4 linked regions of the Lonchura striata genome follow. The protein of the gene in region 4 interacts with the protein of the main gene of each other region in a pairwise test. Links are inferred from orthologs where the notes say so. Each region holds a gene or a part of one and is shown on either strand. Other genes may lie near its edges.

What was found.
Region 1: the proteins of SH2D4A (region 4) and SH3GL1 interact in binary tests that used the Homo sapiens proteins (3 or more experiments, as listed by UniProt). The two-hybrid records come from large-scale screens. The link is inferred for Lonchura striata from reciprocal best matches to the Homo sapiens genes SH2D4A and SH3GL1.
Region 2: the proteins of SH2D4A (region 4) and TACC1 interact in binary tests that used the Homo sapiens proteins (3 or more experiments, as listed by UniProt). The two-hybrid records come from large-scale screens. The link is inferred for Lonchura striata from reciprocal best matches to the Homo sapiens genes SH2D4A and TACC1.
Region 3: the proteins of SH2D4A (region 4) and PPP1CB interact in binary tests that used the Homo sapiens proteins (3 or more experiments, as listed by UniProt). The two-hybrid records come from large-scale screens. The link is inferred for Lonchura striata from reciprocal best matches to the Homo sapiens genes SH2D4A and PPP1CB.

What each region holds. Positions count from the first base shown.
Region 1 is NC_134630.1:6,027,970-6,035,265, forward strand, and holds the start of SH3GL1 (endophilin-A2), read left to right. Parts: upstream 1-4,293; 5' UTR 4,294-4,412; coding exon 4,413-4,457; intron 4,458-4,525; exon of another isoform or gene 4,526-4,537; intron 4,538-7,296. Other genes in the region: CHAF1A (chromatin assembly factor 1 subunit A), read right to left, coding at 105-161, 1,863-2,653, 2,871-2,919. UniProt on the Homo sapiens protein: Implicated in endocytosis. May recruit other proteins to membranes with high curvature.
Region 2 is NC_134634.1:4,533,826-4,540,646, reverse strand, and holds the start of TACC1 (transforming acidic coiled-coil-containing protein 1), read right to left. Parts: upstream 3,009-6,821; 5' UTR 2,940-3,008; coding exon 2,773-2,939; intron 2,289-2,772; coding exon 2,176-2,288; intron 1-2,175. UniProt on the Homo sapiens protein: Involved in transcription regulation induced by nuclear receptors, including in T3 thyroid hormone and all-trans retinoic acid pathways. Might promote the nuclear localization of the receptors.
Region 3 is NC_134605.1:6,984,141-6,991,679, forward strand, and holds the start of PPP1CB (serine/threonine-protein phosphatase PP1-beta catalytic subunit), read left to right. Parts: upstream 1-4,531; 5' UTR 4,532-4,659; coding exon 4,660-4,711; intron 4,712-7,539. UniProt on the Homo sapiens protein: Protein phosphatase that associates with over 200 regulatory proteins to form highly specific holoenzymes which dephosphorylate hundreds of biological targets.
Region 4 is NC_134606.1:45,007,186-45,014,541, reverse strand, and holds the start of SH2D4A (SH2 domain-containing protein 4A), read right to left. Parts: upstream 3,012-7,356; 5' UTR 2,678-3,011; intron 1-2,677. Other genes in the region: sulfotransferase 1 family member D1, read left to right, coding at 5,722-6,133, 6,208-6,333, 6,438-6,535, 6,629-6,755, 6,855-6,949, 7,051-7,231. UniProt on the Homo sapiens protein: Inhibits estrogen-induced cell proliferation by competing with PLCG for binding to ESR1, blocking the effect of estrogen on PLCG and repressing estrogen-induced proliferation. May play a role in T-cell development and function.

The sequences.
Region 1 (7,296 bases), on a different chromosome or scaffold from region 4:
GTGAGGAAAAATGGCAAAAGAGATGTTCCAGCTGGGCTGAGATAAAAGGCAAAGGCCTTGGTCGGCTCCTCAGGGGAGGTTTGGGTGTCAGGGAAATGCCTTACTCTTTGCAATCTCAGCTTCTCCTTCTCTGCTGAACTTCTGTGGAATTTCTGAGGTACCTGGAATTACAAAATGCAAGTTTTAGAGGAGATCCTGCTCCTGCCTTCCCAGCCTGAGTGACACCGGGCCGCTCCTGCAGATCACAGCCAGTCACTCCAAATTCCCCCAGAGCAGGGAATGAGGACAAAACTTGGGAATTTCCAATCTCCCCATTCCCATCCCAGGGCTCCTGCTCCCATGAACAAACCCCTCAGGTCCCCTCAGCAAGGGAACACCACGTGCACAGCACCCAGGGGAGCTGCTCTGAACCACAGGGGACATTTCAATATGGCAAACTCGCTTCCTTCCAGCTAAAATTGGGTTTGTTTGGGTTTTTTTTTTTCTTGGCCTCCACCTATCTTGCTGTGATATTTAGTATTTAGCTGTAATTTTATGAATACAAGGAGTGTTTTCCACATTTTTACAATTTCTTCTTGCCATCACAGTCCACTTGATCTTCCACCAGGAACAGCTCACTGACCCTAAATTCCAAACAGGGCACACTTCCCGTTTTTCTTTTATTTATGGGGGAAAGAAAAAGGTGGTTTATGCTTAAGATCATTGCTCATAGACTGGTTAAAGATTGTCAATATTTCAGCACACTGTGACTTGATTGACTGGATCCCCCCCTCCTCCTCCTGCCATTCACAGCATCACATTGTGAAATTGTGATTAACAGGCTAACACAGCCCAACTGCTTTATTTTCTATATTTAGCTGCCATAAAACAGGAGTTCTGTCAAGTGAGGGCTTCAGCTCCTCAGAGCTGCTTCCTCCCAGGAAAACAAACCTGCCAGGACTCGCAGCTGCACAGCTTGGGGTGCAGCCCCTCATTTTGGGGAGCAGCAGACGAGCAAATCCAGCCCCACTGGCAGTACTGGGTTACACCAAGATTGCTTTTTGTTGTTCTGCTACACTGGAAATACTTCATGCCTGCTTGAGTCTGTTTATTTTAGGGGTGGAAGACTGAGAGTTTTCAGAGAGGAAGAATTGATCGCTTGACTTGATAGACACAACGAAAGGACTGGGAGAACCATCCCCGTGGTGGTGCTGCTGCTCTTGGAAGCTTCTCTGTCCAAACTGCCCCAAAAATCAGAGTGTTTGGGGGCCTCCTGCTGAAGCAGAGCTGCTAAACTGAAACTCAGGTGAACAAAAACCCCCTCATCCAGAGGTTTTTCATAGAATCAGAATGCTTTGGGTTGGGAGGGCCCTTAGAGCCCATCCATGGGGCATTTCCACTGTGCCAGGCTGCTCCAATCCCCACCCAGCCTGGCCTTGGGCACTGCCAGGGATGAGGCAGGGCAGCTGCTCTGGGAAATCTGTGCCAGGGCTTTTCCATGGCAGCTGCAGGAAATTCAGAGCTGGAAAAAACATCTGCACTGGCTGTGCTGGGGGAACATCCTCACAGGAATCCCAGCAGCTCGGAGGGGGATGAAACAGAGCTTGGGAAAAAACACCTAAAGTACAAAACTGCTGCTCCCAAAACACCAAGTGTCAAGTGGGTATTCCATTAAAGAAATGTAAATCCAGCAGCAGCCAGAAGCAGAGAGAATCAAACCCTTGAGCTGCAGGATTTAAAGACTCCAAAGGGCAACAAATCAGTAATCAACCACCACCACCTTCCCAACGCTCCTCACTGCCCCACTCAACCTCCTCCCCACAATCCCAGCAACCCAAACGTTGCACCACAGCAACTTGCACCCCAAACCAGAGCAGACCAACCTTCCTGGCAGGTGTGGAGGCAGCCAGAGGAATGCTGCTGCCCTTGGTCTGTGCCAGGAGCTCGGGGGAGCTCCCGGAGCTCAGTGAGGAGTTGGTCAGTCCCGAGTCTCCCTCGTGGGACGACTCTAGGGCCTCGCTCTCCGAGGCGGTGCTGCCATCCAGAGAGGCCACCTGGGGGGATTTCAGGCTCATGATGTCCTCCAGCAGCACCACGGGCACCTTCCCCTCAAAAAGCACATCCTTCAGTTCACCTGGAGTGCCCTTCCTGCCTGCCACGTCCTTGCAGGCCGTGAGGCCGGAGCAGGGCTGGCTCCCAGCTCCCAAATCCTGCTCTGCCTTGGCTGCAGCTGCGCAGGGCCCCTCAGTCTGCGTGGAGTCACCTGTTGGGCTGCTCTGCGAGGAGCTCAGGCAGCTCAGCTCCTTTCCTATGGTGCCATTGCTGACAGCAGCTCTAGAATCCACAGCCTCCTGCTCCGTGCCATCCCCGAGTCCGTGGGCAGAGCCCTTGGAGAGGTCAGGAACATCCCCGGGGTCACTCGTGTCACCTCCTGGGTTTTTCTGGATAAAATGGTCCAATGGACCTTTTCCATTCATGAGTTTTGGAGGCAAATTCCCATCTGAGCTCAGCTGGCAGTCATTCTCCACATCGTCCAGGGAGGCACCTGAGGCATCCAGGGAGGGATCCTTGCTGGGAACAAAAGCACTCGGGGAGCTCTTGACTTTTTTGACCTCTGGATTCACATCGAGTTTTTCCTTTGGCACAGGATTGAGGCGCTTGAAGGGCAGCCGAGCTGCAACAACAACACCAGGTTAGAGCCACGAGGTGACAAAGGGTTTCATTCATTTTTAAGAATAAGACTGAGATAAGCCACTTAGAGATGCTTTAATCACAGCCAAGCCAATCCCAAAACAATCCCATAAAACCCATTTGTGCAGCCAATGTATTCCACAAAATCACATCTGAGATGTTCTTGCTAAAACCGTGCTGGATGAGAGACACTCCCTTACCTTGGACGAGCTTCCGTGGAGGAACAGCAGCTTTGTCTCTGCACTCCATGGCTACGGGAGAAAACAACAAATCAGCACCCGGGGCTTTCTCTGAGACAGCTGAGGCCGAGCCCAGCAGCTCTCCCAGGGCCGGCGAGGGAGGACAAAGGGGTCCCACTGTCACCCCCGAGCCACCAGCTCCCAGCAGCCGCAGCCTCCTCCTGGCTGGGCAGAGCAGGAACGTCCCCAGGAGGCCCCGAGGAGAAGCGAGGAGGAAATTCCTCCCTGTGAGGGCGGCCAGGCCCTGGCACAGCGAGCCCAGAGCAGCTGCGGCTGCCCCTGGCAGTGCCCAGGGCCAGGCTGCATCACCCCGGCGCAGCACACAGCGTCCCTACCCACGGCAGGACGAGCTTTCGGATCCCTCCCCACCCAAACCGGTCCGTGACTCCCCGAGCGAGGCTGCGGGGCGGGCCGGGGCCCAGCCCCGGGGCGCGGCGGCAGCTCCGGCACCTCCTTTGTTACCCGGGGCAGGCCCCGCGCACCCCCGCGGCCCAACCGCCGCCGGAAACACCTCGCGCCCCGGCCGCGCCGCGCCCCGCGGGCTGCGCCCTACCTGCGGCGGCGGCCGGCGCGGCTGGCGGCGGTGCCGGCCGGCCCGTGAGGCGGCGCGGCCCGCGCAGCGCCCGCGGCTCCGGGCCCGGTCCCGCCCGGCCCGTCCCGCTCGTACTTGGCGGGAGCCGGGGCGACCCCGCGTCCCGCGCCGCTGATTGGCGGAGCGCGCCCCACGTGACCCGCCCGGCCACGCTCCCCCGCGGCGCCTCGCCTCTCGGTTGGTCGCCGCCGTCAGCGCCGCTGATTGGCGGAGGGGGGTGTCGGTCCGGCGCGCTGCGGGCGCTGATTGGGCGGTTTTGTAAAGGGCCGGCGGGGCGCCGCTGGGTGCCGGGGCTGGGCCCGAGGGATGCCCGCTCACCGGGCGGGAACGGCGCTGCGGCGGGCCGGTCCCGGGCCGGAGGAGCCTGTCCGCAGCACCGGGAGGAGAGGGTGGAGCCAGCACTGCCGCCCCTCGCGCTACTACGGGCATCGAGCCACCGCGCGAAATGGCGGCGGGACCAGCGGCCAATAAGCGCGCCGCTGTCGCGAGGGATGCTGGGAGCTGTAGTTTTCCATTTGGAGCTCTGTCGCCCCATTACTATAGCGGGGGTCCCGGCACCGCCGTCCCCGTGCGGCGCACCCGGTCCGCTCCCGGCGGGCGGTGCTTCGTCCGTCACGAGAAATCCACGGCTGCGCCACCGCCGTTCCCCGCCACGAGCGCCCGTCGCGCGTGTCGCGACAGAACGGCTCTCTCGGCTCCGCCCGGCCGGCAGGGGGCGCGCCGGCCCCGCGCGGCGCTCCGGCCGCGCCGCTCGCTGGTGGCGGCGGCCGGGGGCGGCGGCGGAAGCGGCGGCGGGGACGGGCCGGGCCGGGCTGGGACGGGCGGAGCGTCCTGAGGCTCCCGAGGCTCCCGCCGCCCCCAGCGCCAGGTCCCGCCGCCCGCAGACCGGGCCAGGCACCGGCACCGGCACCATGTCGGTGGCGGGGCTGAAGAAGCAGTTCTACAAAGCGACCCAGGTGAGACACCGGCACCGCGCGCCCGCTCCCGCCGCCGCTGCGCTGCGGCCGGGCCGATCATCCCTTACCGGTCCGGAGAACCCATCCCGGCCGCTGCTGCCCCGGCGCTGCGCGCTCCCCGCCGTTATCCCGGTGCTGGTCCCGCCGGGCATCCCCCGGTACCCGCCGGTGCCCAGCCTGGCACCCCCCGGGATCCCGGGCTCGTACCTCCCGGTTCTCGGTGTGATCCCGGGGCTCGGTGCGGGCCGTGAGCGGAGCCGGGACCCCCGGGCGGGGCTCGGTGCGGGGAGCCGTTCTCCCGGTGGCACCGGGGAGGGGACACGGGCAGGGAATCGGCTTCGCGGCGGTGACACCTGGGGGTCACTGGGGGTGTTTCCCCCTCCCCAAAACCCGCCCGCACAACCGGGACGGATCCAGCCTTAAACCGGCCGGGAGAGGCGGAGGAAGCGCCGGGAGCAGCGGCCCCGGTAACCCCGGTAACCCCGGCGGCGGCCTCGGGAAGCTCCCGGTTCCTGCAGAGCGGCTGGAGCGGGAGGGAAAAGGGCTGGGAAAAGCTCCAGAGGTTCGGGAATCGCAGCCAGGCTCGAGGAGTTGGTGCGGTGCCCTTGGAGCTCAGCCCTGGGAGCGCCCAGCGCCGGGCTTGGAGCAGCCCCGGACGGAGGAATGGGATTTTCCATCAGCTGCTCCACAATTCCATAATTCCGTGTGGGAACGGGCCTCCAAGAGGCTTCACAAACTCCTTTTTCCTCCCTCAGAGGAAGCAATGGCCATTCCCAAGCCTCCCCAGCAGAATTCTCCTTCCCACCGCCTCCCGTCCGCCGCTGGGAGGTTTTGTGGATGCGTTTTGGGAAGGGTTCAGGAATCGCAAATTCCCCCTCTGCTCCTGCTGCTTTCCTGCCCCTGCTTTCAATTCCAGATAAATTTGGCACGGATGGTGTTTTCCATCGCTGAGCTTAAACCCTTTCAGTTCATCCCACCCCTGTGTGCGACATGTGTCGCCTCCTTCCTCGGCTCCGTTTCCCCAAATCCGTTTTATTTACCCAGCAAAGCAAAAAGAACAAATTCCTGAGGTCATCCTCCACCCTCCTTTCCCACTGAACCCGTCGTGGGGTGGTTTTTATGCTGTTTTTCCTCAACTTCCACGGGGAAAGGTCATGCTGGGGACTGGGAGTGGGAGGATTTTGCTGGCCTGGATGTGCTGTGGTGGCGTCAGGAGGTGATTCAGGACTAACACGTTCCTAAGCCCCAAAATATCATTTTAAGCCCCAGATGAAACCATTTTTTGGAGGAATTACAAATTCTTCCAGAGGTGCTACCACCCCTTGCAGTGTCCACGACTTAGAAATGCTCTGGCTGGAAACTGGGAGTCACTGGTTCCAGTTTGGCCATTTTTTCTTGTCTCTTCCTCCCTTCCTTCTCTTTTCCCCCCTTTCTCCCCTCTGGTCCCACTCAGCCCTTGGCTGAAGGAGGGGAGGATTAGTTATTTTTTGGCTCCCTTCAAACCATCAGACTCTGCCAAAGCCCAACATGTGGAAGATCTTTCCTAAAATATTACGTTTTGTTCCACGTCTGTCCTTCATTGAAGGCAATCAGAGCCAGGAGTGGGGTCTGCAGGGACCCCAAAGATTTGGGATCCCTGTTTAGGATCCAGAGGGAGCAGGGCTTGGCTCGTGGGCCCCATCCATGTGATTTTTCCAAGCCCACGTCTCCCCTGGGTGAGGCAGCCCACATGCAGGAGAGAGCTTGGAGTATCCTGGAAAAAAAAAAAAATAAAATAATCTGAGTCGTGCTGGCAAATGGTGGAGATGGGGAACAGCTCTGAGTGTGTCCAGAACAGGTTCTGCCTGTTCACAGCAAACTGTTCCCTAAAAAAAAAATAAAAAAAAAAAATAAAGAAAGCTGGAGAAAACATCCTGAGGAAGGGGGAGAAACAGCAGCAGCAGCTTGGAGCTGGGAACAGGGTGGGAAGTCCCTGCCTGGTCCAGGGTTTCATCCAGCCTGGAATTCACAGGGACCTCCTGGTGTTGTAACAGCTTGGTTTGCACCCTTTGGGTTTTGTACAAACTGCTGGAAATCCTAAAATCCTGCAGATCTTCCCAGGCAGTGGGCAGGACAGGCTGCTGCTCCGGGGGGGATCCTGAGGGAATCTGGGGGTGCCAGCAGCAGGGCTGGAGGGAGGAAACGGCCTCAGTGAGGCTGAAATCTGATATTAAAGCAAATTTTTTCCATGGAAAAGGTGCTCAGGCATTGGAACAGGCTGCCCAATGGAGTCGCCATCCCTGAAGTGTTCAAAAACCAGGTGGATGTGGCACTTGGGGACACGGTGGTGAACCTGGGCTGGACTCAGTGGCCCTAAAGCTCTTTTCCAAGCTCACCCATTCCACAATTCCACATCCCAGCCCTGCCTGGGTCACGCTCAGCCAGCAGCAGGAACAGCCCAGGAGCTTTTTGGGGTCAGGGGAGTGCAGGGATGGGATTGTGCTGCCCTTCCCAGGAGGTTTTGGGGTCAGGAAATGCAGGGATGGGTTTGTGCTGCCCTTCCCAGGAGGTTTTTGGGGTCAGGGGAGTGCAGGGATGGGTTTGTGCTGCCCTTCCCAGGAGTTTTTGGGGTCAGGAAATGCAGGGATGGATTTGTGCTGCCCTTCCCAGAGCCCAGGAGCTTTTTGGGGTCAGGAAATGCAGGGATGGGTTTGTGCTGCCCTTCCCAGGAGGTTTTTGGGGTCAGGAAATGCAGGGATGGGTTTGTGCTGCCCTTCCCAGAGCCCAGGAGCTTTTTGGGGTCAGGAAATGCAGGGATGGGTTTGTGCTGCCCTTCCCAGGAGGTTTTTGGGGTCAGGAA
Region 2 (6,821 bases), on a different chromosome or scaffold from region 4:
GATGACTGGAGATAACTCGAGCAAGAATGGGATAGAATTAGTCCCATCATCCGAGACCACAAGAGGAAACTGATTCTGAGTGGGCACAAACCCTCACTGCAGCCCCCTCCAGGGCTGAATTTTTGTCCCCAAGGGCAGAGTTTAACACACCCAGGTCACCTCTTGGCTGTGCGTGGAGCAGCCAGCCCTGGAGCCAAAGCTTCTGTCATTCCTCACCCTATTTATTCCCAGGGCAGGGTGAGACTGCAACTGCACAGCGGACAGTGCCCACTCCTCGCTGTCCCTCAAGGCCAGGGGTGCTGGCTCTGCCCAGCTGCAGCTCTGGCACTGCCCCAGGCAGCCCTGCAGTCCCTGGGGAGGTGCTGACACGCAGCCATGCCACGACTGCCTCCCTGCCACTGCTGCTCCCGGGCCGCAGCCAGACCCAGGGGCTTGGGCGGCTGTGCAGCAGCAGCACGCAAACACGAGGCCTTAACACACGGCTTGCACTGGTGGTGTAACAGCCCAGGGAGCCTCTGCACAGCACAGAGCCATCTGCACCTGGACGATCCTTCTCTCCACCGGCCCAGAGGAACAGACACAGCCAGAGACAGGGGCAGGGAAGGGCCGGAGCCAAGTGTGGTGGCACCGCAGTTTGGCTCTGCTGGCCCCAGCATCCCACTCTCTGCCAGCCAGCACAGAAAAACAGCTTTTGCTGGAGATCATGCCCCCGTCTCTGGAACACTGGGAGCTTTGTGTGCAGGAGCAGATACTCCCTCACTGCTGAGCGGGAGCTGCTCATCCCAGGACAAGGGGCACAGGCACACAGGGGAACAGTGACACCCTGGAGTCTGAGGCAATGCGCTTCCCTAAGCTGTGCCAGAAATGATCTTCCTACCTGCTAGGAAAGCCTTTATTTCTTCCCCCCTTCCTAGGCATTATCCCCAAAGTAAGGATGTCTCTATCATCCCTTCTAAAAGGATTATTCCAAGAGCTGTGATTATTGGAAGCATGAACAGAGCACTCCCTCCATCACAGCAAACAAACACAAGTTTTCCACAGGGATGGATGAGCCCCAGATCCACCCCAAAGAGGAATAACACCACAGGAGATTGAGAGCCACAGCATCCTGTGCCTGGACTTCTGCACAGAAGGGTCCACAGTCTGGACTGAGCCCATGTGCTCTGAAACCAGCCCCACAAAAAGTTCCCAGCCACTGCTGCTGCACAACATTGCACATCACATACCAGGGTCTGCAGCAGTGAGGGGCAAGAGAGGGCAGGGAATGCTCAGGACGGCCTGTCCAGGACTGCCTGACCCACCACAAACAGCCCTGTGCCTTGGAGAGGCTGCTCACACACCCCAGGGCTCACAAACACCCTGCCACTGCCCAGCCACCCTGCCCTACTGAGAGCAGATGCAAGGGGAGGTCTCGTCCCTGCCCTGCCCCGATAACCTCCCGTGAGCTGCTGCAGCAGTGCCAGAGCTCCAAAGCTTCCTCCCAGCAGCACAAAACCAGAGATAAACACCAGGATCAGCCACGGACACCAGCACAAACCCCTGAGGAGGAGGGTAAGGATACAGCAGGGAGCTGGTCCTCAGAAGGCCATGGGCTAACAGGGAGCAGCAGCAGTGTGGGACACAGGGATAAACGTGCAAAACAGCTCAAGACCCACCAGCAAAGGAAATGCCATGCAGTTAGAGCAGATCTCCTGCAATTTCTCAAAAAATGGGGTTTAACAGCATTGAGCTCTTGCATCTTTAACAGCAGCTACTCAGTGAGGACACCTGGCACCTAACTCCAAGGAAAAATGGCCTGTGCAATGAAATCCCTACCACTGAGCAGCCTGGGGGACACAAACTGGGCATCCTGCCACTCCTGGGCAAGAACCTGGGATGAGAAAGGTCCCACCAGCCAGTAGCAGTCAGGGCAGCCCCCAGGCTGCAGAGGAAGTCTCAGAGGAACGTTTAACTGACAAAAATTCAACAGCACCCTCGGATTCCTCCCAATCAGCCCCTCACAGCTCTTTGTGGAGCGCCCAGCCCAGCCCTGGCATTTGAACTGTCCAGGCCATTAACCACTAAAAGTGCGCCAGGCATTACTCAAAGTCAGAGAATTTTACTCCTTGACGCCACCCTGCCTTTGTGGCAGCGGAGCAGAGCACCAAGAGCAGAAGGTGCACGCTGGCTGTTTACCTTGGGTCCGGTCCTCAGACTCCGGCAATCCCGGCGGCTCGCAGAACTCCTTGAGTGGCGAGCAGGTTGGTGTTTCTGCTTCAGGGGTCTCAAAATTATCAGTGGAGTCCGAGCTGCCGAGGGGGGGAAAAGAGTGAGGAATTACTGCTTTCAAGGCTACCTCTGAAATCCTCCACAGCGCCTACACGTCCAGCCAGGCCGCAGGCTGGCCGTGGGCATCCGGGGCAGCCACTCGCTCCTGTCCAGCGGGACATGCTAGCAAACGGAAAAGGGAGAGCAGGTGAAACATCCTCGTCAGCAGCGCCCTGTGCGCCCCAGCCCTGCGGCGGGGCTTCGTTCCCGGGCTGAGCACACGGCACGGGCCTCCAAGGACATGCAGCCCCGCAGCATCCCCCGCCGCTCCGGCCCTGCGCCGCCCAGCACCCTGCGGGAAGCAGCCCCGGCCCCCAGCCCGGCGCGGTGCGGGATCCCCGGCAGGCAGGCAGCGAGCGGGGAGCGAGGGGCGGCGGGGAGAGGCCGGGGAGGACGCGCCCGCAGCCCCGCATGGGTGCGGGCGCCGCGGGAGGGCGGGCGGGGAAGGGGCCGCGGGCGACTTGCCTGAAGCCGAGGGCCGAGCCCCCCGCCGGCGGGTCCCGGTCCTCCTCCTCACCATCCTCCTCGGCAGCAGCGTCCCCCTCCTCGGGGCTGCCCCCGCCCCGCACCGCCGACCAGGTCCAGCGGGCCCACTGCACCGGCGAGAGGATCTGCCAGGCGCTGAACGCCATCGGCCCCGCCGCGCTGCCCGCCGGGCTCACTGCGGCCGCGCCGCCGCCCCCATCGCGCCCCGCTCCGCTCCGCTCCGCTCCGCTCGGGCCGCCCGCCCCGCGCCCGCCCCCGGCGCCGCCCGCCGGGAGGGGCCGGCCCGGCGCCCCCGCCGCCGCCCGGAGCCCCCGGCCGCGGGGAGGGACGCGGGGCAGCCCGGCTGGCCGCCCCTCCCGGCCGGGGGGCACGGCCGCCGCTCTTCCTATCCGAACTCCCAAATTCGCCGATTGCTGCCCCAAGGCGGGGCCGGGCACATCGCTGTCACCCCTCGCGGCGCCCTGCCTCGCCCCACCGCCGCCACAGGGAGCCCCCGCGTGAGAGGGCAGGGAACTGTGAAACCAGATCCCCGCCGCTTCATCCCGCAGTTACTTGGTTGCACCTGTGCCGTCACAGAGCCGGCAGGACACGAATTCTTTCCACTCTGGACGTGCCCGAGAAGACCCCACGCGGGCGGGGAGCTGCCCTGGGGGGCAGGCAGCTCCCAGGAATTCTCACTTCACCCAGGAAGACTCGGTCCCACCGGGAAGGCTCGCCCCCCTGGGCAGCCTTGCCCAAGGAAAGGGGCTTTCCAGAGCTGAGGAGCCGAGCGCAGGAGGCAGGGGCAGAGAGGAGGGAAACACCTGTCCTTTCCATTTTCCAAGGAAATACTGGCCTCAACAGCCCTGGCTGATGCTATATCCTTCCGTGGCAGCAAGTTTATTTACTTATTAAACTATTGCTGTTTAAAAAGAACAGCCAGCAGTTCCCACAGAAATCAACCTTGCTGGCCTCCCTCGGGAACTTTCCCTCAGGAACTTTTCCCCTAACAAGGGCTCCCACTCCCAAATTCATCACCTCCCACACGCTTGCTAGAGAGAGGAGGATAACATTACTGACACCATGCCGCGGCCACAGCGCTGTGAGGAATGTCCAGGGCTCTGGCAGCAGATCCGCCATGGGCAGTGGCACTGCTGGCTCCGGACATTGGCAGCTCCCTGGAACCCTGACTGCTTTACCCCGGTCCCAGCAGCAGATGGCCTCGGGAATGGCAGACAACTGTCCTGCTGTGAAGCCAGCCCGGCCCACTGCAGAGAAGAGCTGCTGGCCCTCGCTGACCACACCAAAGCTCCCATGGCAGGCTGAGCCCACGGCTTCCCTGTGAATCAGCAGCCAGCGCTGGGAGTTGGGAATGCCTCTGCATGGACAGAGGGGCCCCGGGCCAGAGCAGACCTGTCCATCTGGTCTGGTTGCCTCTGACACCAGCCTCTGTCGAAGCTTCAAAGGGCTCAGTACTCACCGCTGAGCATCTCAAATAACCTCCCTGCAGGGATCCTTTCTCCAGGCTTCCCTCTGTTGGTGTCCTTATTAGATATATGTGTCATTCCTGTGGGCTTTTACTGCCCATCCTCTTGAAAAGAAAATCTCTTACTCCTTTCCACAATACTTCTAAGCTTCCCCAAAGACTTCTCTGGGTGAACCAAAGCTGAGGTGCTGCCAGGTCCCACCACAGGTCAGTGGCAGGAGAGGCCCAGGGAACACCTCAGCCCCTGCACCATGTTGGCCCCCACATCCCCAGGGCCTGGGGACAAGGGACCCTGCACAATCCCTTACTGCCGTGTAGAGGACACTGAGCAAGAGGGGACTTTGTGCCTCATATTGAAGCTTAGCCAAAAACCATGAGTCTGAAGCAAAAGCAGTAGCTCAACATCCTGTTGCCCATGGCTGCCGTGAGCAGAGCACAGCCTACTTCCCCTCTCCAAAGCGGCAGAGCCGATTTCTGCAGATGAATCTTAGATCAGATCTTCAGCATGAGCCGCGCTGCAGCAGCTCGCTGCAGCCTGACCTCATCCTCCTCCTGCTCCCGCTTCCCCTTCCCACCTCCCACTGAACCCGAGGAGCAGCAGCGGTGACGGCACCGCCGTGAGCAGCTGAGCAGCTCTGCCAGGGGAAGGAGAAAGCCGAGTGCATCCGAGCAGCAGCAGCACTGGCACAGCAGCAGGGACGAGCCACCTCCGCTGCAGAGGGAAGGAGCTGCGTGTGACAGGCTGAGCAGGAGGGAACTGGGGCACACGAGTGCAGGAAATGATCAGGACCTGTCCTTGTGCCTCCAGCGAGGAGCCCCAGTCCCAGCCAGCACCCGGGGAAGGAGCCGGCAGGAACGGGATCAGCAGGACTGAACCATGCCGGCTGCAGAGCTCCTGACTTGCAGGGCCCTGGGGCACGAAGATACCAGAGCAGTGCAGGGGCAGAGCCTGCTTCCACCTGCTGTTCCTGATGAGCAATCAAGAAAATGCCTCGAGTGGCATTTTCCAGCTTGGCACCTGACCCAGCCTGGCAGCAGCACTGGCTGCAAATCACCACCGAGGAGATAACCTGACTTTGTCAGTCACACTGGAGGCTCTGCCTGCCAAACGCTGCTTGGCACAGTCAGCAAACACATTTCTGCAGAGCAGGGAGGATGCTGACCTGTTTTAAAACACCTGCCAGCAGTTTCCATCCTCGCAGAGAGATGCAGCCCACACAGGCAGCAGCTGGACGGGCTGTCCTTGGCACCGCTGTCACCTCCCTCACTGCTGTCACAGGACTCACTGTGCCAAGCCCTGCACACACACAGCGGCTCAGGGACCGGGGATGTGCAGCCCATGGACGTCTCTGGCAGTGGCTGTGCTGAACTGCCTAAAATCCCACCCACGCTTCTCACGCTGCCTGGACTTTCCAGGAGGGGACAGCAGCGGCCCCTGCTGCACAGAGAACAGGTGGAGCCCCAAATATTTTGGAACTAGAAGAGCTCTGTCATCACAGAAGCTGCAAAAAGAAGCAAATCCTTGCTTAGCTTTTCATGTTTATCCTTGCAGGGAGCCAGCTGCATCCAGGGATAACAGATCTCATCCAGATGGACCTTCCCTTCACACCGGGGATGAATTTCCTTCTGGCTGTCTGGCAGCAGTGCCTCTGCCTGACCCCAAAAGCACAGCGTGCACAATTTCTCTCAGTGTCCCCGCACCTTGGTTCCCAGGAAGGGCTCAAGGAATAACGCTGCGGAACAGGAATCACACAGCCGCGTTTGGAGCTGCAGTGCCCCAGGCCAGAGGAAGGCATGCACCTGGAATTTTCCCTCTCAGCCCTTTCATTAGGCAGGAGAACACCTATTTCTGGCTTTTAAGCTTTTCTGGGCACAGCAGCCAGTGCTGACTTTTCTAGCTTAGAAACAGATCTTTGGTGGGGTTTCATTTCTCTTTTCCACTCCTGCCTTTCTGCTCCTCTGCAGTGGGGCCTTTCACTGCCCTGCCAGGACCAGGACCAGGGCCTGGCTCCCTGCAGGCAATGCCAGGATGGGGCAGGAGGACAGCAGGGGATGGTGGCGACAGCCCAGAGATCAGCGCACGGAAAAAACACAAATCCATATTTCACTGCTGTGTAAATCTCCCCACAGCCTGTAATAAGCACCTTATCCACATAGCATTTATCTCCTCCAGGAGAGGAGGTTCAAGGTGTTTCACGAGCATTTTACTGCTGCTGCGTTTTATTCCAACCTATTCCATTGGTCAGGGACCTGCATCGCCTGCGTGCGGCAGCATCTGGAGCGTCCCGGGCGTTCCCGAGGTGCGGGAGCATCCCAAAGCATCCCGGCGTAACCCCTAGGTGTGCCAGCGCCCCGAAACACGTCCCGGGAACAGCGGCGGCCCCGGGAGCCCGGCGGGCTCGGGCGGGCGCTGCTCTCGCTAGAGGGCTCCCCAGGATGGGCTTGCGAGGGCTGCGAGCTCCCGGCCCCGGAGCGCCGGGCTGGGGCCCCGCCGCTGCCCCGGAGCGCCGGGCTCCTTTTGCTTCGCCTGACCTGGGCAGAACTTCAGCCTGGGCACCTCGGG
Region 3 (7,539 bases), on a different chromosome or scaffold from region 4:
TGTGTCCTGGGAATATGGCTGAGGACACAGCACACTGGAGACACATTAGTGAGAAGAGACGTAGACATAGCGTGCAGGAGACCAGACCGTGACTCACCACATAACCCAGAGGAACTTATTTACCTTCTCTTTTTAAGTGTAACCTTCAGTGTAAGAAATGTGTATCAAAATTTAATCACTTCATGGACTGTTATGTAGTCTGATTAATGATATTTAGCGAGCACTTGGAGATCCCTTGATAAAGGTTGGGTTTTTAGTCAATCTGTTATTTCTGCCTTCAGAGCTTTTATTCCTTGTGTCAGGTCCCAGAGTTTAAAGGAGTTCTTTCTCACTCTCTGCATGCACTTTGTGAAACTGGCTGCTGGTGTCAAATGCCAGCATATTCACAGGGCGTAAACCATCTGGTTTTGCTGAAACTAAATATTCCCATGTTTACTGAGGAAAATAGATGCAGACACTTTCAGTTCTTGCAGCTGTTCCTTCCTGGGAAACAGTAGGAGAAGATTTTTTTCTCTCCAAAGCAGAGGAATAGTAAGCTTGATTGACATCCTGCAAAATGCAGATCTTGCAGTCCCAAATTATTTTCCTTGTTTTGCTTCAGAAGTCCTTCCCCCTTCCTCACTTGGGGAGTAACACCTCAGCAAGTGTTGTGTATTTCTCATAGTTTGTGGGCAGTAGGACAGGCTGTCAGGGGAATTGAGATTCTATCACATGCTAATAAACGTAATTTAAAGAAAATAAAACAAAACATTTGAAATATGACACAGAGAGATTAAGTAACTTGTGATACAAAACCCTGGTTATGCTTCACCTTGTCCCTATTTTGCATGCAGCTTCTGGGGGGGCTCTCTACTGCCTTCCAGACTCTAACTCAGCTGGGGGCTGTCAGGATAGGGCAGAGGGAGCTGCTATTTTTTAAAAAATTAGTTTTTCAATATGGGTCTTACTTACGATATCTATTCTAATCTTTTTTTACTGTTTCAGCATTGGTTTTTGACATAAACAATCTGTTTCCTGGGAACATCAAGATCTGCCCTGCCCTGCCTTTTAAATATGCATAAAAGGTAATGATGGCATAACTACATTCACAGGAATCAAAGGTCAGTATTAACCTACAAAACAATCTTGTTCTTCAAAAAATACTATTGCCTTGATGAGTACAGGGTTTGTGTCTCAATCAAAGACCTCATGCTTCAAACAAAAACTATATTAAGAGAGAGAGAAAACAGCACTACCACTGAATGACTGGGGCATTCACTGGACATGGACCCAGACTAGAATGCCTGGGCCAGTGGATGTTTAATTGTTTACACAAAGTGTTGCAGTTCCAAGCAGGGATATAAAGAGAATCAGTATGGATGCAGGCATTTAGAGAAGAGTTTTCCAGATCCTTGGTATGTGCCACCAAATGCAAACCGCTGGCTAGTTTGGGACTCTCCTTAATTTGTGAGGAAGGTTGAGAAAATCTTGGGTTTAGTTCAGTGTAGGAGAATATTTTATTTTTACATCTTAAAATGTTCTAACCAAACCCAACAATTTACCCAGTTTTAGTGCAAATACTGAGAAACAAAAAAGGGTCATAAAGTACTACAGAGTGGGATCTGTTGGCTTTTCTTCTTCTATCACTTAATCTAAGCTTTTTGGACAAAACAGGGATAAGTTATCTGCAGGTTTTATTTTGAGATTACCTTAATACAGTTTCTTATAATTTCTGACTAAAGAGATCTGTCAATATTTTTGTAAACAAACTCTCCTAAGAAAATACACTTTCAATTGGATCACTAATTTCTATTTCAAGTAAGAAACTGGAAAAGGGAACTGAGGAGACAGCAGTGGTTTAGCTATTGCCACTCAGGGAGGATACGCTCTTAATTACACACTGGAAAACTAACCACATGGCTCCTACTGGCCTCTCCCTCCTATCCACACAAGAGCTGCAGTCAGCCCTGAGTTACAGTTTGCCAAGGTGATAAAGTACAATGGAAATGAGCTGCAGTGATGGGATAATGCTGTAAAATACTGTCATGTACTGTCTACCAGGTAACTGATGACAGACCCAGGAGGGTGATAGTTTTTGACAGTTACAACACCACAGTAAATAACACAAAAGTATATGTAGCGCACTAACTTTAATGTGCACTACATATACTTTTGTGCATATGTAGCAGAAGTTCTGTCTGAACCAACATGAGGTTACCAGGAAGGAGTAGTCAGTGCTCTGTAGCTGGGGAAGCAACTCTCTCAAATTCCCAGCAACAGCAGCCTAAAGTGAGAACTCGCGTCTACACAGTCACAGTTGAGGGAATGACATTTACTAACACATAGTTGTTTTGCCAATTTCTTTGGAAATTTTTGTCTTTCAGATCTGACAAACTGAGCAGAAGAACAGTGCAAATGAAAGGACATTTTGAGAGAGCATGTGGATAAGGAAAGTTGACACATGAGGTATTTATGGTAAATGGCACTGAGACCAAGAAGGGGAAAGTTAGAAGAAAAACCATCTTGGTGGACGTGAGAGGAATTTCAAAATAACTGAAAGACAATTTAGAAAGGTGAGGATTATTACTGGGCTTTTGACAAGGCATCAGTCCAGTTCCCCCTTGTACTTGAATCACCACTTAGCTGTCTTTGGCCTGTATCTGTGCATGGTGTAATGCTGAAATTACTGAACATCTACCCTTGATCACAGAAAGTGCTTTCATTGACTATTTCTTTCTGTACTGCAGAAGACAATAAGCCTCATTCTCTGATCTTTTAATTCTGTTTACTGTACTTGGATTATGTCAATGGGATATGTTAAGTTTTAACCCACTGAGGGAGAAACCCACTTATTTGTGTCCCTGCTCAAGCTACAAAGAAAGGGGGCTGCAAACTTTACAGGGTTATGCAGCACAGTGAGGGGACCTTCCACCCAAGTGACAGCCCAGGTACAGCTGGGCAGTAGCTGTCACCCAATAAAGCATGTCAGCCGTGCTCCCAATAAGAAAAGACACTGGCACAGAATCTACAAGGAAAGAATGAGCTATTTTTTGCAGCTTGTTCTTTTTCATAGCATCTCTGCTTATATTAAAATATTTTGTTGTTATGATATGCTGCTGAATTGTTTCTGGAACATGCTGACATGCCTAGTAAAAACAGTTGTTAGAGGATTGTTTTGTTCAGCGTACCTGGAAGAGTTTATCACACTACGGAGTTTGGGAAGATGCCTTAATTATATTTTTATGCCACGGTGGAAGATAATTTCATATCCCTGTTTAATTATCAATGCAGAATGTTCTGCGATAATATATTATTATGTCTGAACTGTCTGAACCTGATGTTGTGATGGCTTAAAATAGCCTCCAGGGCAGATCAGTTATGTGAAATGAAACTGGGACAATTCCTAAAAGCTCAAGAGGGACTGCAGACCTATTAGTCTTGGCAGCAATGAAGTAGTTGGGATAAGGATGAACTTTCAAAAAGTGGAATAATTGTTTTTCCTAGTTTAAAGAAAAAATGAAAGAAAAACGTTTTAGTGTTTTTTTTTTTTTTTTAATTTAGTTTTCCAATACCAGCAGAATTGGAAAAACAAGAAAGGATAGATGTACATCCTGTCATGAGCAGATGAGCTGAAATTTTATTTCCGTATAACCTGCCCACCTGTGTAGGCATTTCAAAAGAGCATTCTTTCACCTGTCTGGACACTTAGCAACATCTGATACCTAATCATGGCCCCACCTTGTCCTAATTGCTTTTGTTTTGCTCATACTCATTTTCTTCTAATCAGGAGATAAATATTGGATTTCAACATTATATAAGGTGGCAGCATTTTGCTTGCTTGTAGGGACTGATGGAAAAGTTCGAGTTTCTACACCAACATCTATATTTAGGTATATAAAGGAGAGGTCTGTTTTTCCTAGAACATCTGCACTTTGTTACTTTGTCAACATACATGTATTTATCTGCTCTCCCGGTTCACAGAGGGTTTTCACCACCTAAATTTTAAAGCACTTCTCTGTCCATCCAAGGCAAGCATCTGCTGACAGAAGTATGTAAACATGTCTTTAGAGAGCTCATCTCAAAAAAAAAAAAAAAAAAAAAAAAAAAAAAAGTTCCAGAAATCACCAAAAAAGTCCTCTAAGCATCTCCAGCCGCAGTGAAACTATGAGTGTCACGAACTAGAGTTTTCTCTGACAGCTGCGTTAGAAGAGCGCTGCGAAGAGCACAGCGCGCTGCACCAGTTATGACAGACTTTTTAAAAATTATTTTTAACAGGCTGCGAGCTGGCAGGGCTGCGGTGCCAGCGGCGAGGGGTGACCCGGCTGAGCGCGGCCCCGCGCTCGCTCTCCCCCCTCACGGCCGCGCCCGCTCCGCGCCTGCGCCGCCGAGCCCGCCGCGCCTGCGCGCTGCCGGGGCGCGGGGCGGCCGCGGCGGGCGAGGCGGCACATGCGCCGTGGCGGCTGCTGAGGAGGGGAGGAGGCGCGGGGAGGAGCGGTGCCCGCGTTCTCCCATTTAGCTGCGAGGGAGCGGGAGAAGCCGGGCGGCCGCCGGGGACCGCCGGAGGGGGGTGGGGGGGAGCCACTGTCGCTGCGGCCGCCGCTCCCTGCTCCTCCTCCTTCTCTGTGGAGCGCCCTCCACCCCGCCCTCTCCCCGCCCGGGACCGAGTCTGGTGGCCACAAAATGGCGGACGGGGAGCTGAACGTGGACAGCCTCATCACCCGGCTGCTGGAAGGTGAGCGGGGCGCCGCGCCGCGCCGCCGCCGCCCGCGGGCAGAGCCGGGGCAGGCGCCTCGGGGCGAGCGGGGGCAGCGCCTGCCCGGCGCCGCCGGCCCGGGGCGGCGGCCGGGAGCGAGCGGGCACCGGCGGGACGGTGAGAGCCCCGGCCCTGCAGCCCCGCCGGGGGAGGAGGGGCTGGTGAGCGCGGGGGGTGCCCGCCCTGTCTGGCTGCCTTCATATTTAATAGGAAAAAAAAAAATTAAAGCAAAAAAAAAAGCTTCGTTTTCCGTCTTCACGCCGCTGCAGCTGCCTGGATGAGGGGCGAGCTGGGCTCTTTTCGTCGCTAGCCGAGCCTTTTCCTCCCCGCCCCTCCGGCCGGGTTGTAGTCGCAGTCCTCCGTGTGTGAAATTACGTCTGCGAGCTGCGCTGGGTGTGGGGCTGTGTGTGCGTGAGTGTCGGTGGGAGCTGCGCTGGGTGTGGGGCTGTGTGTGCGTGAGTGTCGGTGGGAGCTGCGCTGGGTGTGGGGCTGTGTGTGCGTGAGTGTCGGTGGGAGCTGCGCTGGGTGTGGGGCTGTGTGTGCGTGAGTGTCGGTGGGAGCGGAGGGGCTGAGTGCGCTGCCGTTCCTCAGCCGACGGGGCAGTCTCCAGAAGTGGCTCTCATGGGTGGCCGATAAATTCTGTGGAGGGTTTTCTGTGTATTAAATAGCGATTCTGCCCGTGAAAGTAAGCTCACTTATTGCCTGCTTTTGGAGAAGTTGAGGAATTATTGCTAGCGTTTTCTTTTTATTTAAGCTATGTCGTGAATGTTTAGTCTTCTTGGGCCTCTTCTTCCATTAATATTTCATTCCACATTCAACAAATACCTGGTATGCTGGAGATGAGATGAGAGTACTTGCATGGGTATGCGCCGTTCATTTATTTGGTTGCTGTACTCCTTAGATAGTTGGATCACATTGCAGAAGGCTTATAGAAAGGAATTTATGGAACATGTATAGTTTGGGAAGGGAAATAAGTTTTGTAAGGCTGAGTTTTGTTTAGTCGAGTTACTACAAGGCGGCGGTTTAGGGCTTTAAGGGCTTCTTAGTAGTTGCTATCTCTTCTCTTTCGACGTGAAAACGAAGAGCAGCAAAATCAATATTTAAGAATACATAAAGTCTTTGAATAGTTGTTATGCTTGTGATTTAAGGTATGCAGTGTAGTATAGTATGAAGAAACAAGTATCAGTTGAAGTTTCTCTTAGATCGTTAATGCAGATAAAACTCCCTTTTTCTGGATGTTGAAACACGGATTAATAGGTAGGTTTTAAAGATGAACTAAATAATAACCTATTAAATGTTGACATTTTAGGGCAGATTTGGGGGGAGACATTAAGATACATGTATATTTATGGTTCTGGGATTTTTGAGACGCTTTAAATAATATATTTGAAAGATACTTGTTCAACAATAGTGTAGTAATTTAAATATGGAGTGCTTTAGGAGGAGGGGATTCTGCATTGTTTTGGTGTGCAACTTGTTGGATTGTTCTGTTGCCTCTTAAAATATTACTCTGCTTTTTTTTTTTTTTCTGAAGACTTTTAAAATATGTCTTCCATACAGTTTACATACATCATAAATATGTGTGTTGCAACTTCATAGCTTTTTTGGATTATAGTTCTTACCTTATGTTTCAGCAGCCTACCCCGTGGTTTTTTGTCTTCCATAGTCCTTTAACCTTTTGGGATATATGTATGTACAACTTCTGAAGCAAGCCTTGCTTGTAATTTTTCTTTTCTGTTTCCGAGTCCATTTTTAACTCTAAGCAGAGATTATGAAGATTTTTAAGGGGAATAAGATGCTTTCTTTCTGCTAACATTAGAGGAGTACCTGGTACAACATCTTGTATCTGAAACGTAATAGGTAATTCTTGCAGGTTTTGTTCAAAAAAAATGGCAGCAATTAAAGGAATGCATTGTGTCAATTATTTTTGCTTTCTTTTTAACATCTTTTATTTGTTGCACTGCTGGCATATAGCATTTGAACCTGTTGTTCAAACAGCAGTGTTCCACAATGAAGGTTGTTTGTTTTTTTGTTGGTTTTTTTTTGTTTGTTTTGTTTTTTTGGGTTTTTTTTTTGTTTGTTTTTGGGTTTTATTTTGTTTGTTTGTACAATTGGCAGCTCACATTCTGGAGCTCCTGCTGTTGCTTAGCTGACCTGTTCTGGTAAAGTGAGTATGAATCCCTCTCCACGCTGGTTGCGCAGAAAAAATTCCGTTGACTCTTATCTCCAGTTAAATTGTTCAAAGCAAGTTGTTTGGCTCCATTACTCACACTTCAACTTTTACTTAAAAGGATAGGGAAACATGGCTTTTGTGGTGTGTTACTACAGTGAAATAATAAAAAGACATTTTCGCTAAATATTGTCATGCAGTATATATTTAGTCCTTTTGGTTCTTTAAGTGAAATGTATGGCTTTAAGTTTGAATAGCAGTCTACAATTGTCTCTCAGTGGCTGCTGCACGTAATTCTTCAAGGGTAGAAAATACATATCAAAAGCCACAGCAGTAGGAAACTTCACTGCTGCTACTGGGTTGCTGGGTGGTGACACCTGTTTCTAGGCTGTGATATTAACTGTCAGGAATTCTTGCTCCTACTTTAGTTAGGTTACTCTAACTGTTTTTATCCTTCTGGGTTATATGACACATTAACTTGCCTTTTGATTGGAGTTACCTACTTAGATTGTCTTACATTTTTTTGTGCTTAATTGCGATTTTGATTTCTTTTCGAGATATCAATATGAAGTGGCCTACAGCTGGGCTGTTTGGGAGAATTCAAGAACATCTTCCCAGTCCTCAAGGAGGATAAGCC
Region 4 (7,356 bases):
GCCCCTTTATGTACTGGATTCTGCGTAAGGCTAGCATATAATGCTTAAAGAACAAAACCAATGAAGTCACCACAGCATAAACTACTTTGAAATTACCTATAGCTGAACTGACTTGCCCTATAGGTCCCTGATATTGCTGGAGGGGGCAGCAGTTATCTTGTAGCAGGTAAGAATGGGTGGTAATGACAAGAAGGAAAAATAATTTGATTTAGCAACAGCCACTGAACACAGTCTGAGACTGCAGGGCTCTATTTTCAAGGAAAATGTATCTTCCCTGCTAGAATAATGTGCAAACATTTATTGGATCATCTCCCTGTATCAAAATCACTGAGAGAATTAACAGTGTGGTGAAAAGGGTGAGAGCTTCTCTAGGTTAACTCACAGGATCAGATACTCAACCAAACTCAGTCAGTGTAAAAAATGAGATTTCTCTAACCATATAATTTGATTTACTGTTCTGCACAGAAACAGGTGCTGGGTGGTAAATCCCAGAGGCAGCACCCCGAGGCACAATCTTGGGCTATTAAGTCTTACTTAAGTTACTACTTGGCTTAAGTTGTTACTGGCGCATGGTGGTCTTTTTGTAGGGGGAGATGCCTGAGCTGGGGTGTGGTTTTTACTATTATAAGGAGCAAAAGTTCATCCCTAGGGCAAGTTCACAGTACAGAACCAGTCAAAACTGGGGATTTTTTTAGTTCATCATTACACATTCTGGACTAGAAGAGTGTTATCTTTCTGTGTTTTCCCCGTTCAAGAACTTAGGTCATAAATTTTCTCTCTTCCACATTCCTGTGACTGTTGCTTTCATTGCTTAACCACTTTGTTCTTTACCTTGTTTGGAACTTCACTCCCATTATTCATCAAGGTGGTAAGAGGAAAGCTAATGTCTTTACAATTTGATGAGTGACAGTACTGGTATTAACATATTTGAAACGGGTCTTAATGTCTGTACTAACTTTGGGCAGCAGGTTTGTTGCAGAGACCAGACAGCTTAGCTCCTGAAACAAACAAGTGGGTCTGTACAAACCTCAATTTCTCAACTTTGGGGAAAAATGGTAGGTACAAGGGGGAATATGTGGTAGGCAGTTTGGGAAGGCTGTACCTTCCGAGTACCTCAGCCAATGGAGAAAGGAAGAGGGCAACCTGCAGCTGGGAGTTGAGGACGGATGCTGTGCCCTCCGAAACCTTGAGCGAGAAAACCCCGCGAGCTTGTGTGAGGGCCTCTCTCCCTTTATTCAAATAAAGTTGCAGGACTCCTCTGTCTCTCCTGTATCGACATAAACTTCTGTCGTTTGTGGATTTTCCTGACAGTGGGATCCAGTACTGGGGCACCTGTGGGGAATCCCACTGGAGGCTGAAGGTCCAGTTGCATTGGTCCAAGAAGTTTAGTCCATCTTTAGACAACGTACAATTATGTCTTTTCATATTTAAGTTACGATAGTGATTGATTTGTGGCCCTGTCAAAAACCAAGATCATTTGAAAAAGCACAAGCAGTAACGAGCCGGAGCAGAAATGAACTGGAGCCACAACCAAACACGGAAACAAACGGGAGCTGCAAATAAGCTGAAGCCGGAAAGAAGCCGGGGAAAGTGAACCAAATTGGAGCCTAAAACATGCTGGAGGCACGAACAAATACTATGAGCTGAACCTGAGACCAACTGGGGACAGAAACAAACCACCTGGAGCTGCAAATGAGGTGCAGCAGAAACTAAAGAGAGCCTGTCCCGAGCTGGAATCCCGAAGGAGCGGCAGCCGCCAGCTCCGCGCAGCTCCTCCGCAGGCGCGGCCCCTCAGAGGCTCCGCGCCCGCGCCGCGCACTGCCCCGCGCCGGGCGCCGCCTGGCGGGCGCGGCGCAGCAGCGCAGCCCCGGCGGCGGCAGCGAGCCGCGGCTCTGGCCGTGCGCTGCAGCAAGGCTGCGAGAGGACAACGCTGCACACCCACTCCTGGGAGACAGCTCCGCGAGGGACGCCGTTAGGAACGTGAATCCACGATGTCAGAGGCTTGTGTCCAAAAGAGGGACAGAGGAGTCGCGTGGCTTTATTTGAATAGAGGGAGAGGCCCATGGCAATTTCCCATCGGGTCTCCCAGATTGTTGGGGGACTCAGCCCCCTTTTTGTCCTAAGTTCCTGGCCGCATCACCCTCTTCCTCCTTCCCGATGGCTGAGTTACTTGGAAGGTACAGACTTCCCAAATTGCCTCCTCTATGCCCCCCTCTGATACGCAGGCCCCTTTTGTTATGTAAAATAAAGAAGTAAAGGTATTAAGTCTTTGTTCCTTTTCTCTAGGTTCAGGAATTTAACATGGCCTTGGCTAAGCAACATTCCGTGTTGATTAGTAACATTTTTTAGAACTAATAGTTTCTTCTGTTACTTCCCTATCTGTAAGTTCCTAGCTCTATCTACAAGCAGATTGAGGTCTGTTTCTAAAGACACATTTGTCTTATTCCTTTCGGACACCATGCCTGGCATGGATACCGGAGCTAGAATAAGGACACTGTAGTTTGAATGTAACATTATAGCTGAAATAAGGACACAGTAGTTTGAATATGACACCATAGCTGGGATATCACATTCCCAAACATGCCCCGAACATGGCAGAAACACCCTCCCACCCCCACCTTCAACCCATGGATTAACCAGCCACAGCCATAAGGAATTTGTCAAAAAACATTTTTACCGCTGAAATCACTTGAGGCAGAAAACAAGTTTTCCATGGCTGGAAAGGTCTCATGGAAGAGTCTCACGTCTCCACCCAAACATGTCCCACTCCACGGCCCTCTGGCCACAGGCGCTTCCATGTCCCCTGTGCCAGTCACACTTCTCCGTATGCCCCACTCCAGACAAGCACCTTTCCATGCTGGCCCTGGCCATATCACCCTGAGCCACCGGGGGCCACACGTCCTCCCCCAGGCGTGTCCAGCCCATCTCGCACGCAGCCATCCCGGGACGGGAGCAGGAGCAGGGAGGGACAAGGCCACGGCTCCCGGGGGGACGCGCCGGGGCAGCGCCCCCGCCTCGGCCGAGCCCCGCGCCCTTTCCCCGCCCACCGCCCTCCGCCCGCCAATCAGCTCTCGCTGCCCGCCAGCCTTGGCCAATCGCGACGCGCGGCCCGCACCCCGCCCCGGTGCCCCGCCCCGCCGCCAGGGCCGCTCCGTCCGAGGCGGCGCCGCCGCTTCCGGCGCGCGGGGCCGCCACGGTGCGCGCCTGGCGCCGCTGGCGCCGGTGGCCCCGCCCCCTGCCGCGTGCTGTCCGCGCGCTCCTTCGGGACCCGCCGGCACCGGCCCCGCGGCCCCGCAGCGCCTCCGCCGCAAGCAGCAGCCGCTGGCCGTGGCCAGGTACGCCGGGACATCCCCCCCGCGGGAATCTCCTTCCGGGGTGGCTGGGCGCGGTGCGACACCGCCACCGTGTGCCGTCCGTGTCCCTGGGATCCCCGCAGCCGTGATACGCCCTTTGTTTGATGGGCGGGCTCTTGGGCTTTGCCTGGCCCCAGGGCTGGGACACCTCTTGACTGTGGGACACCTTCCATTCCTGAGGAGAGCGTGTGGCAGCCCCCCTTTCGGGGGACAGGGCTCGGCGAGAACCCCAGGACCATGCCCCCCACTCCCCCATTCATGGGATCCTCCCTTTCTGGGGATCCTGGGACACTGTTCCCCCAACAGAGAGGTCACTGTCCCGGGATGAGGTGGGGGTCCTTAACACGAGGGTCCCCCGTTTCTCTTCCAGGCAAGTGGCCTCCCAGTGTCAACTGCTTCAGTCATCCTTGGAGCGCCCGTCCTCCCCACAACTTCCCCAGCTACCCGATGAGCCGATGTCACTCCAAGATGCTCCAGGGGGTCTTTTCCAGATGCCCCCTGGAGACCCATTCCCTGAGCGGGTGACAGTAGTCTGGTTATCGGTGCTGGCCCTTGCCTTCGCCTTGGTTTGTGAACCTCAGGAGAATCTGTCGTTGGCTGAGATCACCCTGCGGCGCCTGGCTCCCCGCCTGCTCCTCTCCCTGCGCCTCCTTGGCCCTGGCGCTGATGTCCTGCTCCGTCCAGATGCCGCTGATGGCCTCCTGGACCGTGTCCTGCCCCATGGGCAGATCCTTTTTCTCAATGAACGTTTCCTCCGGGCAGTGGACTGAGAGCTGGTTATCAAAGCATCCCGCTGGGCTACAGATAGCATTCCTGCCTACCACCCCCAGATATTTTTGAGGGATGAGAAACAAGGGAGGGATCTGAGATGGTCACCAAGCCCCACTGGGATGGATGAGAAACATAGTTCAGGAATAAAGAGCAATGAGCCAGCTAAGAGCAGGGTTTTGATCCATTTATCCCCCAAACAGCATAATGGGAGAGCTAATAGCCATCCCCATAAATCCACCTGTCACAGGTCCAGACCCCAAAGTGCTTTCCCTTGTAACTGCACTTGTAAAGCTGGAGCACTTGAGGAGGGGTGCTGGGCACGGGGCTTCAGCCATGATAGGTTTCTGGCTGTGTCGGGGGATCTCACTGTGTGCTGGAGCTGTGGGGGCATTGCAGCCCACTGTGGCATCCCACCCTTAAGGGGAAGGGAGCACTGTCTTCACCTTCCCATGTGATGGCAGCTGTCACCCACAACTAGCTTGAATACAACCAAGAGCCAAAGAGATGTTATCCTGGAGCATTTCAATGGTGCTAGCAATTAATTGTTGATGAGAGTCAGCTGGAATCTGAATGTATGAGCCATTATTGTATCTGCACTGATAGGATTCCAGTTGCTGGATTTCAGTATCACCTAGTTTATGGCCAAAATTCTCTTGCAAATCAACCACCTGAATTGGATCAAATGGGATAGTTACTTGTGTGTGATTGTCCTCTCCACCATGAGGTCTAGCAGATTCAGGGGAAGTTGAAGGAGGTAAAGAATCATCTTTTCCCAGTTCTCTGTTTTGGGGATTGCCCTGTATGTTTCCATCCCATGTAAGTCTGCCAGACTTTTCCTGGAACTTTGGCCACCATATATAGCACCGTTTTGGTAGCAGTTTGCCAACCCTGTCCATCATCTGTATTTCAATTTTAAGTAAAGATCATGATGTTATTTCCTCATCATCAGATGAAAATGTTGCATGTATTTTTTTGTCAGGGTAACAGACACGTTTACTCTCTTCCATCTTCCTCATTGGATACAGAAGGCCAGAGTAGTGAGTCTGTATTTCTGCAGATGGTCCAGATGCTCTGTCCCGCACTGGTGCCTCCTTTCCCAGAGACCCCATCTGCCTGGGCCAGGCACCACTTGGCTTCTGCTTCTCCTCGATCTCCTGGAGCAAAAGCAGCACCTGCTCCATCATGGTGGGTTCCTGTACTGTACAACCTGCTGGATCAGATCATCCAGGATGGAGCAGATCAGCTTATTCATCCCTTTCCTACAAGAGGCATCAAAGGAGCACTCAGGAGGGCAGAGAGGGGGGCTACCCTTGCTAGCAGCACCCTCAGCCAGGTCCATAGCTGTGCTCCGTAGCTGAGCCATCTCTCATTAACCTTTACAGCTTGGGTGTGGCAGGAGGGTGGAGGTGCCAGGGCTCATGGCCACCAGAGCACATGGAATCCTGAGAGGTATGGCTGCCTGCAATGGGGGCCCTGGGTGGAAGAGCTGTCTCTGTACCTCCACAACCCCGTGGCACTCATTAAAGGGGCTATAGCTGGGGGAGAAGTTCAGCCATGTGGGAGGAGAGGTGATGCTGGGCTCCATTCCCAGCCCCTCATGGCTTGGGCTTGGTGCATAGCCAGCATCCACATTACCAAAGTATCCTACCAGGGATCAGGGCACACTCCCGTGGCTCTGGCAATACCTCTGTCACATGTGATTTGGGCTGGACTTCGCCTGATGGGGCACTGCCCCAAGCACAGTCTTGGCACAGGATCCAGTACTACTCCAGGCACAGTCCTGGCACAGGTGCCAGCCAGTTCAGAGGTTGTGAAGGCTACCAGCAGGGAAGACAGCCAGTGCTGTGTAGACCCACTGTCAGCCATGGAGCAGGAAGATGCAATCAGGCAGGAGCTGGGAAGCCTTCATGGCATTCCCCTCTACAAGAGCTTCATCGAGGGCTGGCCTCAGGTGAAGGCTTTCCAAGCACGTCCAGATGACCTGCTCATCTCCACTTACCCCAAATCAGGTGAGTGGTCCTGGGGAAGGGTGCCAGGGGCATGGGGTGACACCAGCCTCTGCAATGCTGTCCCTCTGTGGCAGGCACAACGTGGCTGAGCGAGATCATGGACATGATCTACCACAATGGCGATGTGGAGAAGTGCCGACGGGATGCCATCTACAACCGTGTGCCCTTCTTGGAGTTGAAGGTCTCCAAGAGTCTGTGTGGTGAGCTTCCCCAGCCTGGCTGCCTGGCTTGGGTAGAGAGGGAACTGAGCCAGCATGAGGGTGCGGGTGCTGGGGCTCAAACATCTAAGTCCCCTGTGCCACAGGTGTTGATCAGCTGGAGAACACCCCATCCCCGCGGCTGGTAAAGACCCATCTCCCAGTCCAGCTCCTCCCAACCTCCTTCTGGGAGAAGGACTGCAAGGTAACATGGCAGGTGCTCCCTGTCTCCCCATCTGGGTTGGTGGGAAGGAGGCACTACTCTGTACCTCCCAAACACATCCTTGGCTCTCTCCAGATTATCTACATGGCCCGCAACCCCAAGGATGTTGTCATCTCGTACTACTACTTCCACCAGATGGCCAAGATACACCACGACCCTGGCACAAAGGCTGAGTTCTTGGAGAACTTCATGGCCGGCAAAGGTGTGAGCTGAGCCACAGCATGCCCACCCTGCCATGCCAGTGGGAAGGACATCCCCCGCTACCCCTCTTTTCAGCTAATCCCTTGACCATATCCCACAGTGCCCTACGGATCCTGGTATGACCACGTGCGTGGATGGTGGGAGAAGAAGCGGGAGAAGAAGATACTCTACCTCTTCTATGAGGACATGAAGAAGGTGAGGGTGGGATGGAGGGGAAGGAACCCTGGTTGCCCCCTCCCCCCCCACCCCCACTTTCCCACTTTTTTGGCAGCCTGCTCATATCAGTCACCCTGCAGGACCCACGGCAGGAGGTGCAGAAGATCTTGCAGTTCCTGGGTAAAGAGTTGTCAGAGAGAACAGTGGAGAGCATCCTGCACCACACCTCCTTCCAAGAGATGAAGAAGAACCCTGCTGCCAACTATGAGACCATGCTCCCCACCTTGATGGATCACAGCATCTCCCCCTTCCTCCGAAAAGGTGGGGGTTTGGCCAGTGGTGGAGGATTTGGGAGGGATGTCCCTGGATTGTATTTCAGCCCCCATCTGTGGCTGCAAATATATCATGTGTGTGAGGATTTACCCCAGTTATTTTCTTGCTTCCAG